3 linked regions of the Schizosaccharomyces pombe genome follow. The protein of the gene in region 3 interacts with the protein of the main gene of each other region in a pairwise test. Each region holds a gene or a part of one and is shown on either strand. Other genes may lie near its edges.

Region 1 (5,214 bases), 250 kb from region 3:
ACCCAGAACAATGCCAATCGAGCAGCTCTATTGGCTTGGGGATCTTTGAATTCATCTAAGCCTAAGCATGCTCTCCCGCCATCATACATATCATCGGAAGCAGCGCAGGCATCTCGATCATCGTTTCAGGTTGAGCGTCATCGTCCAACTCCCGATAACTCCGCCGTTATTGAAGCTGCCCGCCGAACTTACTCTTCTATTTCCTCCTCTTCCTCACCCTTCAAAAAGAAAACGCAATCCCATCTCCCTAATCGTACCACTGAAGTACCTTCTATATCAAAACAGTTATCAAAGTCATCTACCTCAATCGCAACCGTCGCGCCATCTCTCGCTTCTGTTTCGTCAGTTACAAAATCGCCATCTCCCACTCCTCAGTCAGCTCCACGAGCTCAATCTGCTTCCACTGAAACTGCGCAAGATCTGGATTTCCTTACACCGCCACGTTTATCTGTGAACAACCCTTTTCTGAGTGATCTCTATCCAGCTTCCGAACAGGGGCTTTCTTCCTGTGAAGAGAAAGATTCGCCGGTTGATGGCGATGAATTTTTCAACCACACAAACGAAGAAGAGATTATTGAAAAGCAGTTTCAATCCACATCTATCTCTGCAATGACTTCTGAAAAGCAAGAACAAATTCTGCGTGAATGTCCAGACATCGACGAAGAGCTTGGTAAGAGTATACTTCGAGAAATCGTGGTTTCGGGTGATGAAGTTCATTGGGATGATATTTCTGGGTTAGAATTTGCTAAGCACTCTTTAAAAGAGGCAGTGGTGTATCCGTTCTTGCGTCCAGATTTGTTCCAAGGCTTGCGGGAACCAGCTAGGGGGATGCTTCTTTTTGGGCCTCCAGGAACTGGTAAGACAATGCTTGCGCGAGCTGTTGCTACTGAATCCCGTTCTGTCTTTTTTTCTATTTCAGCTTCTAGTTTAACATCCAAGTTTTTGGGTGAATCCGAAAAACTTGTTCGTGCTCTCTTCACTTTAGCAAAAAAGCTGTCTCCAAGCATCATTTTTGTTGACGAAATTGATTCACTGCTTTCTGCTAGAAGCAGTGATGGAAATGAGCATGAAACATCGAGAAGAATAAAAACAGAATTCTTAATTCAGTGGTCTTCGCTTGCAAGAGCAGCTGCATCTCGACAAACCGCCGATCACCCAAGAGTTCTAGTGCTTGCCGCTACCAATTTGCCTTGGTGTATCGACGATGCTGCTCGTAGACGATTTGTCCGTCGTACCTACATTCCCCTCCCTGATGAGACCACTCGTCGCTTACATTTAAATAACCTTTTAAAATATCAGAAGCATTCTCTTTCCTTAGAGGATATTGAGGCTATTGTGAAAGCAACCGAATATTACTCTGGCTCTGATTTGACAGCATTGGCAAAAGACGCAGCTATGGGGCCTTTGCGAAGTTTAGGTGAGTCTTTGCTATTCACGAAAATGGAGTCGATTAGGCCGATTAATTTAGATGACTTTAAAACTAGTATCAAGGTAATCCGGCCTAGTGTGAACTTGCAAGGGCTGGAACGATATTCAGAATGGGACAAAGAGTTCGGATCCCAAGGGCATTGAGTCTGTCTTCTTATTTAAAATTCCTAGCCTGATACCGATTTTTTTGGTAATCACGTTGAAAATTTATTTATTGTCTTTTAATACATGGCTTGTGCAAACTTATGATTATAACTAATAAGGACAACTTTTGCCTCAAGGAATTATTCATGATGATAATAATGGTGCTGTACCAAAAGCCTTTTTGTTTACTCCTAATATATTCGTTTGTCTCTTTTTTGTTGATACAATTTATGCACAGTCTTTGAATTTTTCAAACACTTAATATTAACTGAGGTTATCTCTAACCCTAGTTATTGTTTGAGTTTCCATTTTTATTACGACTCATTTACAAACAACTAAAACTCCTTACTATGATTAATTAGTCAGTACATGTCAATATTTATAATTTAAATGTTTACAGTTTTTTTATTCTATTGTTCTTTTAGCGAATCTAAGAGTTTACAGTATATCACTTACGAAATTATATTGCAGTTACACTATAGAAGTCAAGTTGTTGGGATGCTTTAATTATGTGAAGATGCACACTCAGCTTATGCTCTTGCGATGCCTAAACCTATAGAATGGGTATGATAACTATTGATTGATTTAGCTGATCAAATAGAATGAATTTGATTCAGGAATGGGTAGTAAGTTGGATGTGTCAAGTTCCTTGAATTCATCGTCTTCCAATATGGATCGTGACAGATCGGAGTCTCCGAAGCGACATGTCAACGGAAGCAATTCATTGAAACGTGGCTTGCATTTTGATGGAGAGCACACTGAAAGAGACCCTCACTTGGGAAATGGCCAAAAGTACACTCAACAAGAGCGTCGCGTGTATGTTGGTAATTTGTCATATCAAGTTCGTTGGTTTGAGTTGAAAGAGTTTATGGGACAAGTTGGCAATGTTCTTAATTGTGAGATTTTGAATCTTCCGAATGGATTATCGAAGGTAAGTTTGCTTCATAGAGGGTGGGTTTCATGCGACTAGTAAATCATTGTCTATTTAAATTGTAACGTTGAATCGATCCAATTGAACGTTACTTTTAAACGATTACTTATGGCCTATAGCTTATCCTAAAATTTGTCGTATACTCAGATTGTGAATAGTCTAGCTAATATATCAGGGATGCGCGATAATTGAGTACTCTACTGCTGAAGAAGCGCGCACGGCAATTAAAACTCTGAGCAACCAAAAATTTATGGGCCGTCTTGTTTATATCCGTGAAGTAAGATTTTTTTTATGTCGCTTATTAACCTTCGTAAAGGATCGAGAACAAAATGCAAGATTTGGCTCCTCTTCAGTATCGCCTAGCGCGTCGTCGAATGGCAAAGATTCTGAGCCAGACAGGCAATTGTTTGTTGGTAACGTAAGTTCAATTTCTAATCCTCTATATTCTTTTCCTCGAACTTTGGTATTTTAATGAATTGTGGAATTGCAAATAAGAAATGGTACTAACGAGTATAGTTACCGTATAACGTTCGCTGGCAAGATTTAAAGGATTTGTTTAGACAAGCTGGTTCTGTTATCCGAGCTGATATCCAAATGAACCAAGAAGGCCGATCCCGTGGCATTGGGATTGTTGTCATGAGTTCGATGAAAGAAGCCATGCATGCCATTCAAATGTTGCATAACACTGATTTCATGGGCCGCACTTTAGAAGTTCGCCTAGATCGGTTTGCACATCATAAAAGTAAGCCGTATTCCACTCATGGAAATGGCTATACGTTTCCAGCGGAAATGCAAATGACTACATCATCCACCTATCTACCCATGTTAGGTGCTAATACTCAAGTCGAGGATTTAGTTTATCATGCGTATCCCCATGGACCCTGCTCGGATTGCATTTACGTTGGAAATGTATGTATATAAGGACGCTTTTGTGGGATTAGTTTTCCGCATCATTTTAAGTTTTTTTTGGAGATTACTGACTGAATATAGTTACCTTGGGCCACCTCAGATCGCAATTTATTGGACCTATTCACAGATATTGGCTCAGTCATTCGTGCCCGAATCGCCTATGAGCCCACTGGCCGATCTAAAGGTTTCGGTGTCGTTCAATTTGAGAATGAAAATGATGCAGCATCCTCAATTGAAAAATTAAATGGTTATCGTTATGGCGGGAGACCCTTGCAATTATCATACGCTCACTATGCGACTCCACTACCTGCTGTCCCTACTGTGCTCTCGGGTCTTCCTTCAGTCGCTTATACACCACCTGTTATGCATATCCCTACAACGAATTCACCACTAACGCCCCAATCTTTTACAAATTCTTTCTTAGGCTATCTACCGATTTCAATGCCCGTTGCAAACATGCCCGCTATTGCTCCTATTTCTGTAGCTTTACCCGAAAATAATATTGAACATTCTTTGGAGCCTTCTTAAAAATTCGCCAATACATCTGAACTTCTTTTCTCTTTACAATTAAGCACATTTCCGTAGTGTGAATGGCTAGCTCAGTGACGACATGCGCAATGTTCTAAGGCAGTTATCCTAATATTGTTTGCTTTTCTCTATTTTTTCTTCAAATTTTTGCTTTAATTCCTAATCCCCAAATATTCTTATTTTCCATGTTTATAGATTTATCTCTTTTGTTTGATTTCAATTTTTTGCTAAGATCTTATTCTTTTCCGTGACACACCAAAGTATGCTGATGGCATATATATTCGTCTCTCGTTCTTCTAATTGAAGTCTTTTTAATTTTAGCTTTACTGTTTTTTTACAGGATGCCTAGTTTCCTTCTTTTACAATTGCTAACCATTTCATGGTTTTAATGATATTTTAGATTTTTAGACTTCCATTCTGTTAACTTCCAGTTAACCAAGTTTAATCTTTATTGATTAACTACATTATTTTTAAAGTAAGGTGTATTTAGGTTAAAAATCTTATTTAAGCATAATGGTAAATTTCGTATAGCGAAATGTAGGTGTTGATTGTTTCTTACCTTCTTTAGTAGCCTTATCAATGAAATACAAACATTTACTTCTATCTTATTCCCCACATTCATAAAATTGATGGTCGCATACCTGGCTGGCATATGTAAGACGACAAGCATCATACGCATGAAGTCTACCTACCGAGTCCTTTACTCATGAAAAATCCTTCAATCTGTACGTTCTTTCCGTTTGGACGTTTTTTCAAGTATTTTTCATAATAAAAAATTTAAATTTCTTTATTAAAATTATTTACATCAAACTATAAAGAGGAATGGCAACTGTAAAGAACTTGCGAATTGGCAAAAGTCCTAATCGGTTGATTCAAGATTTAGACGTCTTTGATAGTCCATCAGCTGGATGGAATGATCCTTGGAGTCCTCATAGCTCAAGATATCACTGGCAGCTTCATTCAAATTTAGGCGAGTCCGCTGTATTTGACGAGAATGACTTTTGGTGTGTTTGTCAAAAAACTCGCAAACACTTACATGTGAAAGTCCGAAGAGACAGGGGGAAGCCATTAATTGAAGAGCCTGAAGAAAATTATGGAATAAAAGATAGGATTCCTGTTTACTACGAAGAAGAGGAATTACCTGAACCTCATGTGACTAGCCCTACGAAAAGTGAATTCGCTACTACCTCTACTTGTATGAAATGGAGTAGCAAAACAACAAAAAGTGAAATTGAAGTTGAATGGAGAGATAGCTATCTTGATGCTAATTGTAT
Region 2 (4,561 bases), on a different chromosome or scaffold from region 3:
GCTACAAAAGAAACAAGCTTATCAAGTTCCAAAGCAAACTGTGTATCATGATCCCAATGAATGTGAACATATTCGATGTGATCAAATACTTGAATGTCCAGGTTATGTTTAGAATCTCTATAATGACGGCCATCAGTGCGAAATGGATGCAAAACTTCCTTCGCCACGTTTATAACAACATCAAAAGATTGAATAATGGGCATAGTAGGTTTGGCATATAAGTAAATATTTGGGGGATAGATACAAACAGGGCCATTGGGGTACGGCTGATTAGAATTGGGTTTAGATGCTTTCGGGAAAGATGGAGGGACAGGACACGGAGTAAACAATTGTGAATGACTAGCTTCCTCTTCGTTTTCCAACATATTTTTGTGGGAAACCAGGGGAAGTTGGGAGGTGTAAATTTTTAAGGGAGGTAGTTTTTGAGACATTCTCAAAGGAAGTTTTGATCGAAGCGGTTGTAAGGAAGACTCTTTTCGTTCTATATTTGTTGAGGACTTCAATGCACGTCCTTTCGTTTCAATTTGCTCTTCTGCATTTTCTTTCGCTGATTCAGAATTCATTTTGTGAGTTACCTTCAAACATTCATGGCACCAATAACCATTTCAACTTAGCTTCCTCTATAATATTTAACTTGCAAGAAGATAACTGGAGAATACAAATTTTCAGTGTTCTAATAATTGATGATAGACTGAAAAGATGTATGGAAGTATTGTGAGCTCCTACCAAGCTACAGCATTTGATGCTTTTCTACAGGTGACAGAGGTAACGCATTTTAACAAGTTGGTAAACTTGAATATAGAAAGATACTAAAAGTAAATACAGTAACGAGTTAAATTATCTGATTCATTTTATAAATCAGGTGCGAAATAAAGCTAATTAAACACAATGTACCATTTCGTCTTGCGAAGAAGACATCCACTTCCCAAATCTAAATTATCGTATATGGTTAAATAATGAAAAGATCTGCACTGAATTATCAATTTTAAAAAAATAGCATTGATGAGAAGATGAACAAAACCTCAAATTTTAAGACGTTCTCATACTATAAAGTTTGAGCAAGCAATGCAGCAAATAGAGATGCAGCCAGATCCAATAACATTAAAATAGACGTCCTAGTAGGATTAGCAACTTCTTAAAGAAATGAGCGATATAAAAAAAATAAAAACTTGTACGAGAGGGACGACAAATTAAATGATAGCACTCCTCAATCAATGTTTGTATGAACTTACATGTATGAGAAGAACCTGATTTACTTGATAAACACAAAGAAAAATTGATTCAAAATTAAACTTGTAATAGGCCGAACTAGGGGGAAGGAGTGTCTTGAAGAGAAGGAAAAGACTGTGATGCTGGAGACGCCCTCTGGGGGATAATAGGATGAGCAACTCGCAAAGACGTTGGTGATGGATGCAAGCTCGATTTGTTTGTAGAATTCGAGACATGACGGGTTGATGGATCGCTACGGTACCGGAAATGAGATGCAGCACTATACATTTGAGAAGGAGGAGTAGAATGTGTATGAATTTTTGAATGAAATCGGGAATCATCAGAAAAGAGAGTTGTTCTAACATTATGATGAGAAAGTTCATTTGATTGAAGATCAACTGATGGAAAGGGGTCATTTAAATGCAGAGAAGGCCTACCATAACTATCAGAGGCCATACGTTGTGGTGAAGAATCAACAGAACTGGTATAATTCAATGGTGGTGTATGACGGACAAGATCTAAAGAGTTTGAGCTTTCCTGTTGACTCAAAATAGATGCATCGATCGCTTCTTGCACCAAGCCAAGACACAATTCGGCAAGGCTTCGGCATAACGCATCCACCACACTCGATGGAGAGGTGTTTACCAAGGTGATTGCATGGTTTACAGCTTGCTCTACGGGCTTTAAAATGATGGGCGAAGGATGATAAGTGCGAAGCCGCATAAGAGCCGTTTGCATCGTGCTTAGCGGCGCCGGTGAGTGAGGTGAATGAGTAGAGGGTAAAAGAGAAGGGTAACTGTTAGGAGAACGATATGGACTAAGATTGTTATGATAGCCTAAGTAGGAAGAGGGTCGCTCACTGAGTTGAAGCTCTACTTGATTTAAGCGTTCTCGGAGATTTTCAAGCTCCTGAAGCACAAGGTTATTATCTGCAGTCGATACTTTTTCCAAAGACTTTTCAGAAACAAATTTCGCTGCTTTATGCTCCTGTATAGCATTATTAGACTTCATTGAATTCACGTTTGCATCCGCCAAACTCGGCCAAGACGGCGAGTAAAGAGGATTTTCATCTTTTGTAAAAGAGACCCCATTGTCTAAATAATTATTATCGCTATACATGGAATCTTCTAAAGGTTCTGTCATTAAAGATGCGGATCTCATACCAGCGCGCCATGGTGAACCTCTTGGAGTAGATTCGCGCGAATTTGAGGATAATTGATTAGCAGAGGCTTCATAATTAAGAAAAGGATCCTCTGCCACTTCCCTATCAGACTGGTAATTATGTTCAGACATGCGAAACCACCAGCAAGACGCTGGAGGATTAGAATAAACAGTTGCAAGACCAAGCTCGAATTTGCAAGAGATTCTTGCACTCTTGAAAGATAAAGAGTTGAAAGCACGAATTAACGAATAGAGTATGCACTCTGAAAACCTAACTTAACATACTGTCTTATACTATTTAAAAGTAATATTGCAAAACACAGCAACAAGACAGTTCGCTATTAGTTATCATAACGTATTTTAACGGGATCCACGAAGTTTTCCTGAATAAGCTTTTCCCACAGTTCGTTAGGATAACTTGCTAGTTTTTATTAACCGAAGCTTAATTCTAAGCGGCAACTTCGACTGTGCGGGCAAACAGTACGCTTCGTTACATGTCACTATGCTTTTTTAACTATTCCTAAAAAATCTTTAAATGCCTTTAACACACAATAATCGTTATTGTTTTTAGTGAGTGTATGGTTGAGATAGTTTGAAATAGGAACTACGTATTCTAAAATGCTACACTATTTAAGACAAATAGCAAAACATCTTTTTGTTGAATGAATGAATATATTTGGAAGAGTAATTGAGAAAATAAAGCATAATCCGAAAAATTAAAAAAGCACACCTAGTATATGACAACACTAATTTTCCAGTTGAGAACAATACAAAAGTCAAGATATCAATAACACCAGTGTGAAGCTACAAAATTACAATTTTTTTAATTCAAGCAAAACCAATTCGTCGAATTATCCTCTCAATTTAGACAATTACATCTTTAGTTACTGAATATACCTCAAGAACCAAATAGATGTGTTTTTTAAACAACATTAATAATTATGTACTACTGAAATTATCGTTAAAAACTATATAACGCAATAATAGACAATGCAGTAAAAAAGAGCGCTATGTAATAACAATTCCTCATTCCGCTTCGAGGGGCTTTCTAAATGGTTAAACTCCACTCAATTACCCTTGCTTAACTCCACGTTCTATCTCCACAAAATTCGGTAAAGTCAAATTAAGGATGATGCGACGACTCTCGGAATCCTTTGTTTATATCACGGTCCGACATCTTGCACTCTCCATACATGCTACATTAGTTATAAAAAAACAATGTCAATGCTTTCTACTTTACGTACTGCAGGTTCTTTACGGACGTTTTCAAGAAGCGCCTGTTACTCTTTTGTAAGTTGTGAATTGGCTCCTAAGCGATAAATCGCTGGTTTAAGCAGCCTTACTCGTCTTTTCATGATTATTTGATCGATTATATTAACAGAGTTATTTTTAGCAGAGATTTTCTTCAACGAAGGCTGCCGCTGGGACATATGAAGGAGTAAAGAATGCCAACGGGAACTACACAGTAACGATGATTGCTGGCGATGGCATTGGTCCAGAAATTGCTCAGTCTGTAGAACGTATATTTAAGGCTGCAAAGGTTTGTCGAGTCATCCGTCATTTAGTCATTAACGACTTGTATTGTAGGTCCCTATCGAATGGGAACGTGTAAAAGTATATCCTATTTTGAAAAATGGTATGTCAAGTATAAGAGAAGATGGTTGGATTTGTATGCAGTTTGGCCTTTCTTTTATACGTTTTTGTCAGCAATGCTTGTTCCTGCTTGTCAAGTCCTTCCATGTCTCCTCGAGATTATCGCGCACGAAAATCACGTTTACTAATTCGTTTAGGTACTACTACTATTCCTGATGATGCTAAGGAATCTGTTAGGAAAAATAAAGTGGCTTTGAAAGGTCCATTGGCAACCCCAATTGGGAAGGGTCATGTTTCTATGAACCTTACTTTGCGTCGTACTTTCGGCTTGTTTGCCAATGTTCGTCCCTGTGTATCTATTACGGGATACAAAACACCTTATGATAACGTTAATACCGTTTTGATTCGTGAGAACACTGAGGGTGAATACTCAGGCATCGAGCATGAAGTTATACCAGGCGTTGTTCAATCGATTAAATTAATTACTCGCGCAGCATCTGAGCGTGTTATTCGTTATGCATTCCAATATGCTCGCCAAACTGGCAAGAACAACATCACCGTAGTCCACAAGGCTACCATTATGCGCATGGCTGACGGT
Region 3 (4,080 bases):
TCTGAGGATTCACGAAAATGGCAGGCCATATGTATGTGAATGCTTAAAGAGATTTAACCGACTTGATGCCTTAAATCGGCATAAGCAGAGAAATATATGTGTTGGCGGCGTAGATCGCAGACAGCACTAATGATGACAGCTGTACAACTTGCATCGCATTGCATTATAATGAGTTATGTTTGGTTTTTTTTTGGGATTTTTTAATTTTACTAATATTATTGTTTTTAATTTGCTTTTATATAAATTCAAATTCAAGCATCGTACATGAACTAATGCTGTGACAATTTTGATAATTTATCAACTTGTATCTGTCTTTTGTATATTTATTCATCACCCTAGTATTGTGTATAACTCTGCATCATCTAAAATCTACAGATTAATCTTTGTGAAATGGAAATACAACTATGAAGTTGTTCGTATCGTTGAACGGCTGAAATGGTAAAACTAGTTTCCCCAAACCTGACAAACAACTTGGATACATGAGTAAGAATTAGTGTTTGCTTTCACTCGCACCGATGTTTAGTCAACATATGTTTAAGTTGGTATTTCTAGGGAAAACTTGTATTTAATTACTATAGTATGCGAAGTATTTCATTGGAAAACAGTGGTTGTAGTATGCTGCCAAGCAAGCATTTATTATGATAATAATAATTCAACAAATTAATCACTATGACTTAAACAGAGAAACCAATGATTGTTTTAACTATTATTGCTGGTCATTGGAGGAAATTTTGTCGGCAAGAGAAAAGATAATTCATTTCTATTTGCAAAGAACCAAAAAATACGAAAACTCGTCGTAGCTTATGCAAACACAAAATCACAGGTTTACAAGCCTTTACTACACTAAATCACCATATATGAATCATTCAATAGGATATAATTGACATCAATTAGTGACAAACTGTCGATATTAATACAAGGGAATCAGGATTTTCATTTCAGCATTACGATTTTAAAAATTGTGAGAAATGTTAAATTGTGTTATATAATTAACGCAAACGTTAATTCTCAGTACGAGAAACTTGCGTTACACCCTAACCTACGTGAGTTAAAACCAGTCACGCATCCATATATCACAATGCAACATCAATATTTTCCTCCATCCGCGAGGAAGAGGCAATACTTTGCTGACGATGCAGATCTTTGTAAAAACCCTTACGGGTAAGACCATTACCCTTGAGGTTGAATCCTCTGACACTATTGACAATGTCAAGAGCAAAATCCAAGATAAGGAAGGAATTCCTCCTGATCAACAACGTTTGATCTTTGCTGGCAAGCAACTCGAGGACGGACGTACTTTGTCTGATTATAACATCCAAAAGGAGTCCACTCTTCACCTCGTTTTGCGTCTTCGTGGTGGTGGTAAGAAGCGTAAAAAGAAGACTTACACTACTCCCAAGAAGATCAAGCACAAGCACAAGAAGGTTGAGCTCGCCGTCCTCAAATACTACAAGGTTGAGGATGATGGAAGCGTTAAGCGTCTTCGTCGTGAGTGTCCCAACTGTGGTGCGTCCACCTTCATGGCCAACCACAAGGACCGCCTTTACTGTGGTAGATGCCATTTGACTCTTAAGTTGGAAAACTAAACTTGAATGAAATAGTATTTTCTACTGTGGTCTAGACATATCATCATGAGCAGTAATTGTAGAATATTAAGATTGAAATAAGCTGTAAAACTTTTAAAAATAATTTTATAAGTAGATGCATGAGACTATAAATTGTTCAAAATGAGTATAGATTCATCACTTGGTTCAGTGATCGTTTTGAATAGTACCTGAGCACATTAGCAACTCGTGGAGTACTATTTTGCTCAATTCACTTTTTTTCAGAATTAGAGAATGAAAGAAGATTTCTTCAAATTCATGTGTAGTCGTTACGATTAATACAACCTAACTTTTACATACAAGTAGCATGCGAATACTTTTTGGTCGTCGAAAAATCATTCCAACCAATATCTAAATAAATTTCTTTTGCATGCAACTATGTTAAAACGAAAAATTAGCCTTTATATTAAAAAAAAAAAAATATTCTATATCTTTGAACGAGAGTAACAAAAAAGGCTCTTCATTGAATTGAAAGCCTTGGTTAGTACTATCTGCTTTCCATTTAGCGAATTTTAAACCATCGTTATTTCATTGGATATACTACGAATTATTAACATTTTAATAGCACGCAGACGCGACTACAACCTAGGAGTAAAAAAGTCTGTTTAAACTGGTTAATTTTGATATTTATTTAATCTTTGAAATCAAATTTAGAGCTATTGTTAAGAAAAAAAAAATCAATATTCCACCCCAACTTAAAAACTTTGATTTAAACGACCCAATATTTCAAAAACAGTTATTTACCACTCAATTATTTTTATTATTAAGTTAATTCAATCAGACACTGGTAGCGCAGTTTTTAATTCAAACATTTTGCGATTTTTCGTCTGAATCCGTTTACTTCTTGCTTAACGTCTATCGTTACAATAATTAACTAGTTATTTCGAACCATGGGTCCGTCTGGTGCCGGTACACGTGGTGGTCAAGCCCAATTCCAATGGGAAGAAGTGAGAAATGATAAACAGAAAGGAAGATATTTGGGTCAATCTATTTATGCCGCCTCAGGTCGTTGGGCTGAGGGTAAGGATTTGGAGTGGTGGTCTAAAGGTAGAACCACCCAGTCTGCTATAAATTCGGAAAATTCTGATAAAGAAAAGTATAAAAAAGAAATTTTAGAGATTAAAGAAAGAGAGCAAAGGATGCTTGCAGAAGCTTTGGGTCTTCCGCAGCCTTCTGCTCTCGCACTAACGTCGTCAAAAGCCGCAAACCGCTCTTCAACAAATACTGAAAAAGATTCCAGAAGCATTGCCCATAGTACCTCCCGATCAAGGTCAACTTCTCCGGCTAACCGCCATAGAAGAAAGGAAAAAGAAAGAACACGAAGCAATCATCGACATGGCTCTCATCGTCGTCACGAACCTTACCGTACACATTTATCTAGGCACCATAGGCATAGTACCACCAATTATCATTCAAAAAGAGACGACCGCTACGAAAGAAGGCGTGAACACTCCCCAAATGATGGAGGAAGTTGAAACGAAAGTACATTAATTCGATCAATTCTAGTGTTCTCTTAATTTCTTAAAAGTTCCCGTTTAATATGTTTATTTCCTTTTGTTTTTTTTGATGATTGTTCTTAAATACGAAACGCAGTTCGCAATGCGTGCGACGAAAAAAATTTTTAGGCTTATATATGACCTTTCTAATAGTATGAGCATTACAAAATAATCACTTTTCATTTTCTATTCTCGAAAGTTTAAAAATATGAACAAGTCATAAAGAAAATAATCCAATAATTATCATTCTCAATAATTTTCAGACATAATGTTAACAACTAGACTGGTCCATCCAGTAAAGTCCTTGGTTCGTTGACCCTTACCAGTGGTGGGATCGTATTGTTCCCAGAAAATACCGGTTTGGCGCCAATTCTCAAAAACATTATTTACAACGTTAGTACGTAGCTCTTCATAAATCGACCTTGCAAGATTTTGATTGGGACCAGGGGTATTAATGTAATTTTGATATAAACTACTAAGGATGAGATAATTCATATTAATCCATATAGGGCCTCGCCAGTAGTTTTCTCCGGTTCCAAAGTAAACATCGTTCATACTTAAGCTTCGGATTCCATAAGGAGACCACAACTCATTTTCGTCCCTAATAAGTTTCAACAAGCTAGTAAGCCTACCACTATCAGCAGGAAGCAAACCAAGCATCATTGGCAGTAGAGTAACATATCCTTTATGACACACATTAATAGGATCATCGTATTCATCAACACTTGAATCACAGTAAGCCTGTACTTCTTCATCCCAATGATTGTCTTCGAGGTTTCGAAGCATTGCATTTTCATAGCCAGCCAATTTCTCTGCTTCCTCGGTTTCGCCTAAAAACTCAGCGACAAAATGTAAACTTCTGGTAAATGAAGTCATCCAGCTGAGTAAATCAACATGAAGCTCAGCAGTACTAGGGGGTTGAGCTCTAGGGTAGTCATCCAGTCCGCTTGCCAGACAATGCTGATAAGTACGTCCACGCC

The links. The genes of interacting proteins can lie anywhere in the genome.
Region 1: the proteins of SPOM_SPAC6G10.10C (region 3) and hrb1 interact in a two-hybrid assay, tested with the Schizosaccharomyces pombe proteins (one large-scale study listed by BioGRID).
Region 2: the proteins of SPOM_SPAC6G10.10C (region 3) and mto2 interact in a two-hybrid assay, tested with the Schizosaccharomyces pombe proteins (one large-scale study listed by BioGRID).

What each region holds. Positions count from the first base shown.
Region 1 is NC_003424.3:3,482,563-3,487,776, forward strand, and holds hrb1 (RNA-binding and mRNA export factor), read left to right. Parts: upstream 1-2,093; 5' UTR 2,094-2,115; coding exon 2,116-2,136; intron 2,137-2,165; exon of another isoform or gene 2,166-2,173; coding exon 2,174-2,503; exon of another isoform or gene 2,504-2,678; coding exon 2,679-2,780; intron 2,781-2,819; coding exon 2,820-2,921; exon of another isoform or gene 2,922-3,019; coding exon 3,020-3,412; intron 3,413-3,493; coding exon 3,494-3,940; 3' UTR 3,941-4,394; downstream 4,395-5,214. Other genes in the region: spg4 (AAA domain-containing protein), read left to right, coding at 1-1,572; ubiquitin hydrolase Ubp2, read left to right, coding at 4,763-5,214.
Region 2 is NC_003423.3:492,683-497,243, reverse strand, and holds mto2 (gamma tubulin complex linker Mto2), read right to left. Parts: upstream 2,566-4,561; 5' UTR 2,503-2,565; coding exon 1,309-2,502; 3' UTR 1,233-1,308; exon of another isoform or gene 1,116-1,232; 3' UTR 821-1,115; downstream 1-820. Other genes in the region: dual-specificity MAP kinase phosphatase Pmp1, read right to left, coding at 1-431; idh2 (isocitrate dehydrogenase (NAD+) subunit 2), read left to right, coding at 3,589-3,660, 3,764-3,910, 3,958-4,006, 4,161-4,561.
Region 3 is NC_003424.3:3,235,416-3,239,495, reverse strand, and holds SPOM_SPAC6G10.10C (uncharacterized protein), read left to right. Parts: upstream 1-2,172; 5' UTR 2,173-2,494; coding exon 2,495-3,079; 3' UTR 3,080-3,317; downstream 3,318-4,080. Other genes in the region: DNA-binding transcription factor Ace2, read left to right, coding at 1-130; ubi3 (ubiquitin-40S ribosomal protein S31 fusion protein), read left to right, coding at 1,134-1,586; glucosidase I Gls1, read right to left, coding at 3,350-4,080.